Caenorhabditis elegans: one gene and its partner. The gene in region 2 interacts genetically with the main gene of each other region. Each region holds a gene or a part of one and is shown on either strand. Other genes may lie near its edges.

The links. A genetic interaction does not mean that the proteins touch.
Region 1: of arf-1 (region 2) and daf-12, changing one suppresses a phenotype caused by changing the other (phenotypic suppression), as found in Caenorhabditis elegans (one study listed by BioGRID).

What each region holds. Positions count from the first base shown.
Region 1 is NC_003284.9:10,642,432-10,647,443, reverse strand, and holds the start of daf-12 (Nuclear hormone receptor family member daf-12), read right to left. Parts: upstream 3,005-5,012; coding exon 2,894-3,004; intron 1,607-2,893; coding exon 1,547-1,606; intron 1-1,546. UniProt on the Caenorhabditis elegans protein: Nuclear receptor which binds directly to response elements in target gene promoters. Activity is modulated by binding of steroid hormone ligands that include dafachronic acids.
Region 2 is NC_003281.10:5,714,162-5,718,080, forward strand, and holds arf-1 (ADP-ribosylation factor 1-like 2), read left to right. Parts: upstream 1-1,953; 5' UTR 1,954-1,954; coding exon 1,955-2,102; intron 2,103-2,175; coding exon 2,176-2,286; intron 2,287-2,385; coding exon 2,386-2,594; intron 2,595-2,679; coding exon 2,680-2,757; 3' UTR 2,758-3,383; downstream 3,384-3,919. UniProt on the Caenorhabditis elegans protein: Small GTPase involved in protein trafficking between different compartments. Modulates vesicle budding and uncoating within the Golgi complex. In its GTP-bound form, triggers the recruitment of coatomer proteins to the Golgi membrane.

The DNA of each region.
Region 1 (5,012 bases), on a different chromosome or scaffold from region 2:
GAGATCATGTGGTGGTGCTCACTGATTCTCGTGAGCACTAATTGAATAATTTTGAAAAAGCGTGACTGACATTTTACAACTACATGTCCAAACTTGTGGGAATTGCAAACTAAAAGAACACTTGAACGTTTGAACATTTAAGATTGAGAAAAAGTGTTACAATAATGAGTCAAAAACGGTTACTTGTTCTGGATTGTTCAAGGCAATTTGAATAATCTTCACGTTTACTCACCCGTAATGCTGCAAGCATTTTGTCGAATGACATGAATTTCGAAAGTGCCGCCACATTTGCTTCGAGTGTCATTTTTTGATTTTTGTGTTCGGAATGAAGTATAGACGTCCGGAAGTATATAGTAGAATGGTATCATCAGCACTTCATTGTTGTTTTCGGAATAATTGAGAAAGTAGGTGTTGTGAGAGGCGTGGTCCCAAGTTTTTGCGGTAATATGGAACACACACACTTAAAAAAATCGGGGCCGAACGACGACACAACAGGCAGCAGTAGCAAAAACTTCAGTGCGTCCTGTGTATATGTACGGTGCGTGTGTTTCACCGTTTGACCTTGGAACGGCCCAAAAAGGAAGCGAATTTAATTGTAAGTAAGAAGTAAGTGTGAGCACTTATGCTTATCGCTTTATCAAAACACCGGCGCTGATTACCGTAGTTTGGCGTTCCGAACAGGTTGTGGATAGGTTGATTGTTTGAAGATGAAAATTGAGATATTGAAGATGACGATGATGACACTGGACTTTAAACTTTGATCGTTGTTGGCAAGAATACAGCTTCTTTGTTTCAGACCTAGTTGGTCCGAATAATTTCAACTAGAGCTCACTATGAGTTCATTTATTTCAGGTATCGTAAAAGCTGAACGACTTTTCCAGAATTTTTCCTTTCGAATTTTTCCAGTACAGGTTTCATTGAAAAAGCGTTTAGATGTAGAAGTAAAAGTCCACCATTATCTTGAGCGCATTTTGTATCTTCAACACATGAAATTTCTCTCATCATTTTCTCGAATGTTGAGAGCACATCACACTCAAGAACATCAGTTCTTCTTTCCTCTCCACTCACTTCTAAACAATTCCCCGTCAGCAAAATGGCGTGAGTTTAACGCTGCACAAAACATACGCCGAACTTCGAAAAAGAGATGAAGACTAATTGATGAGAAACAATCAATAAGAAGAAGGATCGGATCAGAATGGAACTTTTTGAACTTATAATAGAAGCTTATTACAAATTTCTAAAACTGAATTAAAGTTTGATAACTAAATGTCCTTTAGAGTGTTATTATATTCATTTGTTAACACCATGTTTTCTGAATACACACAAAAATATAGAGCATTAAATTCAATGAACTGAAAATATATGTAGCTCCAATAATTCAAATCCAATAAGATTCTTGATTGAAGAAAAGAAAATCGTTTAGCAATTTAAAGTTATAGAATACTACCGCCAACCACAAAAACAACAAAAAGTTTCATCTTGGTGCAATGGTTGAGTCAAGTCATAATAATCTAACCTGATTGAAAAAACATAATAACAAACTAACGTCGTCATCGCTGTTTGGAGGTGTCAAGCAGTTATTCTTGCTGTGTATCCGCCTGTGGCGCTGAAATAAAAAAAATTATTTAAATATTATTTATGATATTTTTAATTACACTTGCTGGGCTTGACGATTTATCATCGTCGTCAATCTTTTCAACATCAATTACACTTGCTGAACCCGGAGTTTTTGACGTTTGAATAGGAGTTTCGTAAGAAACAGCAGAAAAGTAATATGGAGTTGGATAGAATGGAAGTTTGTGGAAATTGTGGAAAGAGTTACTATACATGGCACTGTGAGAGTATAGATGGCGATTGTATGTGTTGTTGCAATGATCTGTTTTGCCTACTTCATCTCGGCGCCCCGTTAAGATAGCCGTCGATTTCGGCGCTGGGAGGGTCGAACAGTTTTCAACTCCCCCAAATTGCACTTTTGATGTAGAAATTCAGAGAGAATAAATGTTGCTGCTAACAAGTGGTGGGAGGGTACGGTTACACAAAAGATAGAAAACGCACGAAAAGAGATGATAAGAATATGACTCCTTTTTGTTCTCAGAAAATATTGGCCACTCTAACGCTTATCGCTACAAATCGAACATTTAGACACAGACCGCCGAAGATGACATGTCAACGTTCTAAAATCAGTGCTGTTCTTTGAGAAAGAAGCAGACATATTTATGTGTTACTTATAACAGTTAAACGTTTAAGCTCTACGAATACTTTAGAAAGTAAGATTTTATTTCCGACACATTTTTGAGTGGAAAAGGGGAAATAGCTGCAGAGAGGACATTGTTTCATAATGCCGATTGTACCAGAATGGTCGAATTTTTCAGTTTTCAAACCAAATATGAAATTGAGAACATTTTGAAAATTGTTCTACCATGATATGCCGTTACTACATATTTTGTGTTTTTTTACTGACACCAGTAGATAGGCTTGAAGTGGCTTTGTAAGTTAAGACTAAATAAAATTGATGAGTATCAACTCTAAGAAAATTTCAATACCATTTGTTCGAAACTTCTACAAAATAACTGAGGTTTAAACATAAATGTTAACACATTCTTGTGAAAATGATGCAATATATTTTGCAAAAAAGGTCATTTCTACAAGACTATTCTGCATCTATTCCCACAAGCTTTTATTGATACTTTGGTCTTCTGTTTAGCTGATGAGAAAAAAATTATAAATACGGTTTCAACTTTAAGTTTGTTATAAATAACTTGTAAATATCCAATTTGTTCACCTTTTTGCCGATTTATACTAATTTTCACATTTTTGATTGCTTTACACAGTTTGTACTGGCTCTTCTCGGTATACAATTTTTTAAAGCCGTGAGATTTTAGAAATCACTTACCCTGCGGGTTACTCGTTTCCTTCTCACGACGGGCTCCTCTACCTTATCTGGGTTTTCATTTGTTTCGATTTCCATTGACTGTTCCGCAATGACTCCTCCATTTGTGCCCATTTAATTGGCGCCCGTTGCGCCGAAATGTGCGCTGAAAAATTTTCATTATGTTTTTGTAAAGCAAGTAAAGCAAGATTTTGAGCAACATGGAATAGCAAGGAATAAGTTTCCAAAGTACACACTGGTGATCAACAGCCACAAAAGAAAAGATCGGAAGAGACACAAGAACGGGGACGGGAGGTCGTTATTTGTGAATACTTTGTCATTTTTCTGCTGTGATTTTTTTTTTTGCGTGGAACAGTCGAAAAAAAAAAATTTTGCTACTGCTAATTTTAAACATATCTACTGATTGCGAGCAAAGTTTTGTAAAATTGAAACATCTCGATTAGGCAAAACAGATCTCGTCAAAACTTTCTCTATAAAATAAGTTTTTCTTTTTGATTAGATATTATATACAGTTATAACTTGTAACGAAAAATTGGGAAAAAAATGTTTTTTGATGAATGAAGCTCGGTAAAGTTATCTACATCGAAAGTTGTTCTTGACGACCAGCAAAAAAAAAACAAACAAACCAGATAACTGGGTTAACTGGTGCGTGGATATCTACAATTTAAACTGAAATAAAAGTACATTTTCATTATCATGTTTTCATCCGCTTGGTTGATGAGTAGAACTAAGATTTAGTCTCAAGTAGACTCTGCTGTTCATACTATTTCTGCCTTTTTGCTGGCACGCATAAATTGATAAATTATGTATTTATCTCTAAAAATTTAATTGAAAATCTGTCACTTCTGATTATAGTGTGTTTGTTTCATCAAATCCTAATGCTTAGCACCAAAAATCTGATTCGTTTCATTTTGACGTGAAAAATTGCTAAATTGGAAAGATGAGAAGCTGGAGAGGAAGGCATTTGAAATTTGGATTTGAGATGGCATATGGGGAGGGAAAAAGCGGAACAATTGTAAAAAATGTCGTGGTCTCATTCACTCAACACATGAAACTGCACCTACTGAGAAGAATATGCATTTCTGGTGAAATATTGAAATAAAACAGCACGGAACGAACAAAAAAAGGTTTTAGAGAATGTAAGAAATTGAAAAATAAGTTGTGGTGCACTCAATTCTGAGTCAAAAACAAAAAGATTGAGTTAATTTTCAGATAGAAATTTGATATTCGGCCAAGAAAATTGATGAAATTAAAATAAAATCGAGTTGCGGCATTTGAAGAACTTTCAATGTTTTCAAAATGTATTTTGATGCAGAATAATGTTGCAAAATGGAACAATCACGAAAGTGAAATAAAAAATCTAAAAATTTATCTCAAAAGTATTAAAAAAGTTTTAAAAAATATTTTTGACTAACTTAGGGAAAAAAATTAATTATTTTTGAATAAGTTTAATACAAAATGTAAAATTAAACTTAATAAAAATTACATCTCCTATTCAACTGATTAATGGAAAAAGGAAAGTACTGAAATACTAAATAAAATTAAATTGAAAAAACCATTTTTAGAAAATGTTTTCATTTTGAATCCAACTTTAAAAAAATATCAGTTACATTTAAGATCACTTATCAGACAAATAAAATTATTTTCAAAAAAAATAATTTGAGGAACCAAAAAATGAAATACGATTAGCAATGTGCCTAAAGGTCATTTCAGATAAAACTAGACGCAACATCCAGGGAAAAAAAGAAAAAGCAAAATCCAAGAGGCGCCGGGCAAAGAGGGACCGCGGATGCCCACGCAAGAAAATGAGACGCAGAAATGGTGGAAAAAATGTGGGAAGGCGAAACGAGCATTAGGGTGGGTATGTTGCAAGAAAAAATTTTTAAAATACGCAATAGGGTGCACTTTAGAAAGAGTAATGGTCATTAATAGTTCAAACAAAACAAAACATTGAAAATAAAGAGGATAATTAATTAAAATAAGTTCTAAACGGGCAATAAAAACCAAAGGATCAGACTGTCGCGGATAGGGAAACTAAGTAAAAAAGATAGGAAGAGTGAGAGAAACGAAACGAAAAACGAGAACCACTGCACTGCGAACATTTATTGAGCACTGAATAAAC
Region 2 (3,919 bases):
AGAACTTTGATCTCAAAATATTGTCTTGGTGATCTTACTCGTTGTTTCCAAATGGTTACTTTTCTAGTTATCTGGCTGGTTAGCCTATTTAACCTCAGATTTACCTCAATTTTTCTTCCCGTTTATTATTGTTGCCTATCAGAAACTGTTTCGATTTTTTCTATTGTATATCCATTATAATTTATCACATTTCCTCTCTTATCATTCTTTAATTGTCTTCAGTTTAACTGCCCATTTGGCAATACTTTTTCATCTTCATTTTTTATTGTTCTTGGCTAAGAACTTGTCATGTGATCTGTTCAGAATCGCAATGATTATTGATTTTTACCTGATTCCTTGACAAGTTCCCATTATTTTTTCGTTCATTTTTGTTGTTTGCATTATTTCTATCGATATATCTCATTGATGAAAAAGCCAGCAAAAAAGAGCAAAAGAGAGCAATAACTCCACTAAATGAGAAAAATAAAGTAAAAGAATACATAATGGCTGTGATCTCGAAAAAAAATCAGCGAAAGAATAAAAGACGGGCCACTGAAAAGTGAACGAGTACAAAAAGAGCCCCTCCCGAGTGACGAGTAAAAAACGAGTTAATTTTCAATAAAACACAGGTATTTTTGCGGAAACCGGTGTGTTTTCGTCGTATTTAGCCGTGAATTGCCAGAAAATAAATGATTTTAATTTTTTTTTTCTTTGTTCTTTCTTAACTTTATTCCTCCAATTTTTCTTGCTTCGACGTTGCAATCGTCACATTTTATCTTTGATTTGATCGTCATTTCATTTATTTCCGAATTTGAACGCAAAAAGCTCGAAAATCAAGGTTTGTGACTCCTAATAATTACTGCAGAAAGTAAGAAATTCTCGGCATTTTGAAAGGCGGAAAGATGAACTATCCTAGATTGGCGCAAAGGCATTGATCTATACTGTCTGCGGCGGCCGGTTTCTATTAAGCTTTCATTTTTCTCCAGCACATTCTTCAGAAGCGCCACATTGCTTTAGTCGGAAATGCGGGTCATCTATTTAGAAAGTTTGGCGCTTTGTATTTGATTTAATATTAATTTTCTCATCTGATTCTATTTATTAGTCACAGTATCTCGTGCTGCACTCTTGTGACACGTGTCCTTTTTTCAGAGTTTTTAATTGCGTCACGATTTTCAAAATTTCTCAACAATGCGCTCGCGTTCAATAGGTTTTTCTTCTCTCAAAAAGCATTTTTCATCACTTTCTTAATGTTGCAGTTTATCGTCTTATCACTCGAAAAAGTTTGTTTCAAAGTTCAAATTTTAGAACTTTCGGGTTCATTCAATCAATCAATCAAGATTTCACTGAAGGATTGAAAGATTCAACGTACGGCTGACGTGGAGTCAGTAGAAGGAACTCGAACATTACTATTCTCGTTCCTGTGTGTATGTGTTCTTCATCCTTCCGTCCTGCACTAGCGGACAAATTTGGACGGTCTCTTGTTCTTTTTCGCTCTCTCCTCATCTCTTGCGGTACTTTCACGTCTCGGTCTCTTCACTTATTGCCATCTATCTCCTCTTATTCGACCGCTGCGCAACGCACGCGACGCGCCCAGCGAACAAGACAAAAAGCAGCGTCGAGAGGTTGAGAGAGGAAGAGACACTCCACTGGTCGCCAGAGACTGCTGTGCTAGTGACACGTTGGACGGTGTAGCCGATGTATTTCTGCTGGATTCTCGCTCCTTGCGCCTGTTATAGATATCCATCTCCTTGCCACGTTTTACCCGATTCTTCCTCCTTCCAATCGTCTTCCGTACTTTTTTCTCCGATTGTCGTTGCTGGCATTTTCACGTATTGGATTTGAAATCTTCCCGAATTTTTCGCAATTTCCCACGAAGATTATTGATTCAGCTTTCACATTTTATTAGCGTTCCTTTTCACTTCCATCGGTTCCTCTTCTGAAATTCAATAATTTAATTTATTAATCAATTTATAGAATGGGAAACGTGTTCGGCAGCTTATTTAAAGGCCTCTTCGGCAAACGGGAGATGCGTATTCTGATGGTTGGATTGGATGCTGCCGGAAAGACTACGATTTTGTACAAGTTGAAGCTGGGCGAGATTGTCACGACTATCCCAACTATTGGTGAGTCATTGGGACGTTTTTTTGTTGCGAAAGAACGGTTCACAATGAGTCATAATTTTTATTCATATTTCAGGATTCAACGTGGAGACTGTCGAATACAAGAACATTTCATTCACCGTGTGGGATGTCGGAGGTCAGGACAAGATCCGTCCACTCTGGAGGCATTATTTCCAGAACACACAAGGTTAGTGATTTACGAGAATAGTTTGCGGATCAGCTTATCACCCGCAAGAATTCACAGACTGTCCAAAAAAAATGCTCTATTGATTATATTTTCTTGCAGGACTTATCTTTGTTGTTGATTCCAACGATCGTGAACGTGTTGGAGAGGCTCGTGAAGAGCTGATGCGTATGCTCGCCGAGGATGAGCTTCGTGATGCCGTTCTTCTGGTCTTCGCCAACAAACAAGATCTTCCACAAGCCATGAACGCCGCTGAGGTCACTGACAAGCTCGGGCTCCACTCGCTCAGAAATCGATCGTGGTATATTCAGGTGAGATATTTTTAATCAGCAGTTTCTCATCTGATATTTTAAAACTAAAGAAATTCACTATTTTTCAATAATAAATTAATTCCAGGCCACATGTGCGACATCAGGAGATGGTCTCTATGAAGGACTCGATTGGCTCAGCAACCAGCTCAAGAATAGATCTTAAATCATTTTTCTGAATCCACCTTCGACGAATAAACGACTACGAATCATCCGTTTTTGTTATTCGTTTCAACTCCTTTCTTCTCCCCATTCATTCTCTTTGTTCTTCTCTGTTCCATTTGAAATTCCCTCTCCCATCCCTTAGGCTTTTTAATTTGATCACCATCGCCCTCTTCTACTTTTTCAACCCAATTTTTATTTAAAGCCCCAATTCATTTGTCGTCTATTTCTTCTTAACTTCCAAATCCGACATTTTTTCTTATCCGATTACATTTGGAACCGCTCCTGACGGGAATAATATGTAAGTTATTCATTGTTTTTCTCTCCATTTTTGACCTGCTCCGCCCTCCATCTCCCTCAAATATTCCCTGAAACAGTGTTGTGTAACGAGAAGAAGTATGAACGTGTTTCTCTTCTCTTGTTGAACCATTATTCTATTTTTGTGATTTTTGCGCGTAATTGCACACAAACCTACACACAAATCTCGTTTTCATCGTTCCCTTCCCCTCGAACCTTTAATTTCGCTTCTCTTCTATTTCGTATCGAACACTGTTTTGCTTTTCCTCAATTTTTCCGTATTATAGTATCATATTCACCATTTTTTTTGTCGTGGAGTAAATTATTATGTTATATTCACCTGTTGATAATGACAATATGAAAGTATGAAAATGATCTTTTTCCTCAATTTGGACAAGAAATGTTAATTTTTAAGGGTAATTTATTAACACATGAGGCGTTATACTATGTGCAAAAATTTTTAATACGGAAAAACTAAATTCTGGAATTTCGTATTGTGCAACTTGTCTGGCGCACAGATATCACGTAGCGAAAAATACAGAAATTATTTACATTACTACTGTAGCCATGGTCTGATTTTGCTTTGTTCTTTTTCACTTTTTGACTCGGAATGACAGAAAAAAGAAAAATAGGATGAAATTCAAATATTTCGGTCACAATTCGAAAATAAATTATGTTCTAAAATCGAGCCCGTAAATCGACACAAGCGCAACAGTAGTCATTTAGAGAATTACTGTAGTTTTCGCTACGAGATATTTTGCGCGTCGAACATGTTGCTCAATGCGCATTCTCAGTGTTCACGTAATACACTGAAAATACAGTAATCCTACAGTGCTTCTAATGTACCCTGATACTATTCCCAGACGTAT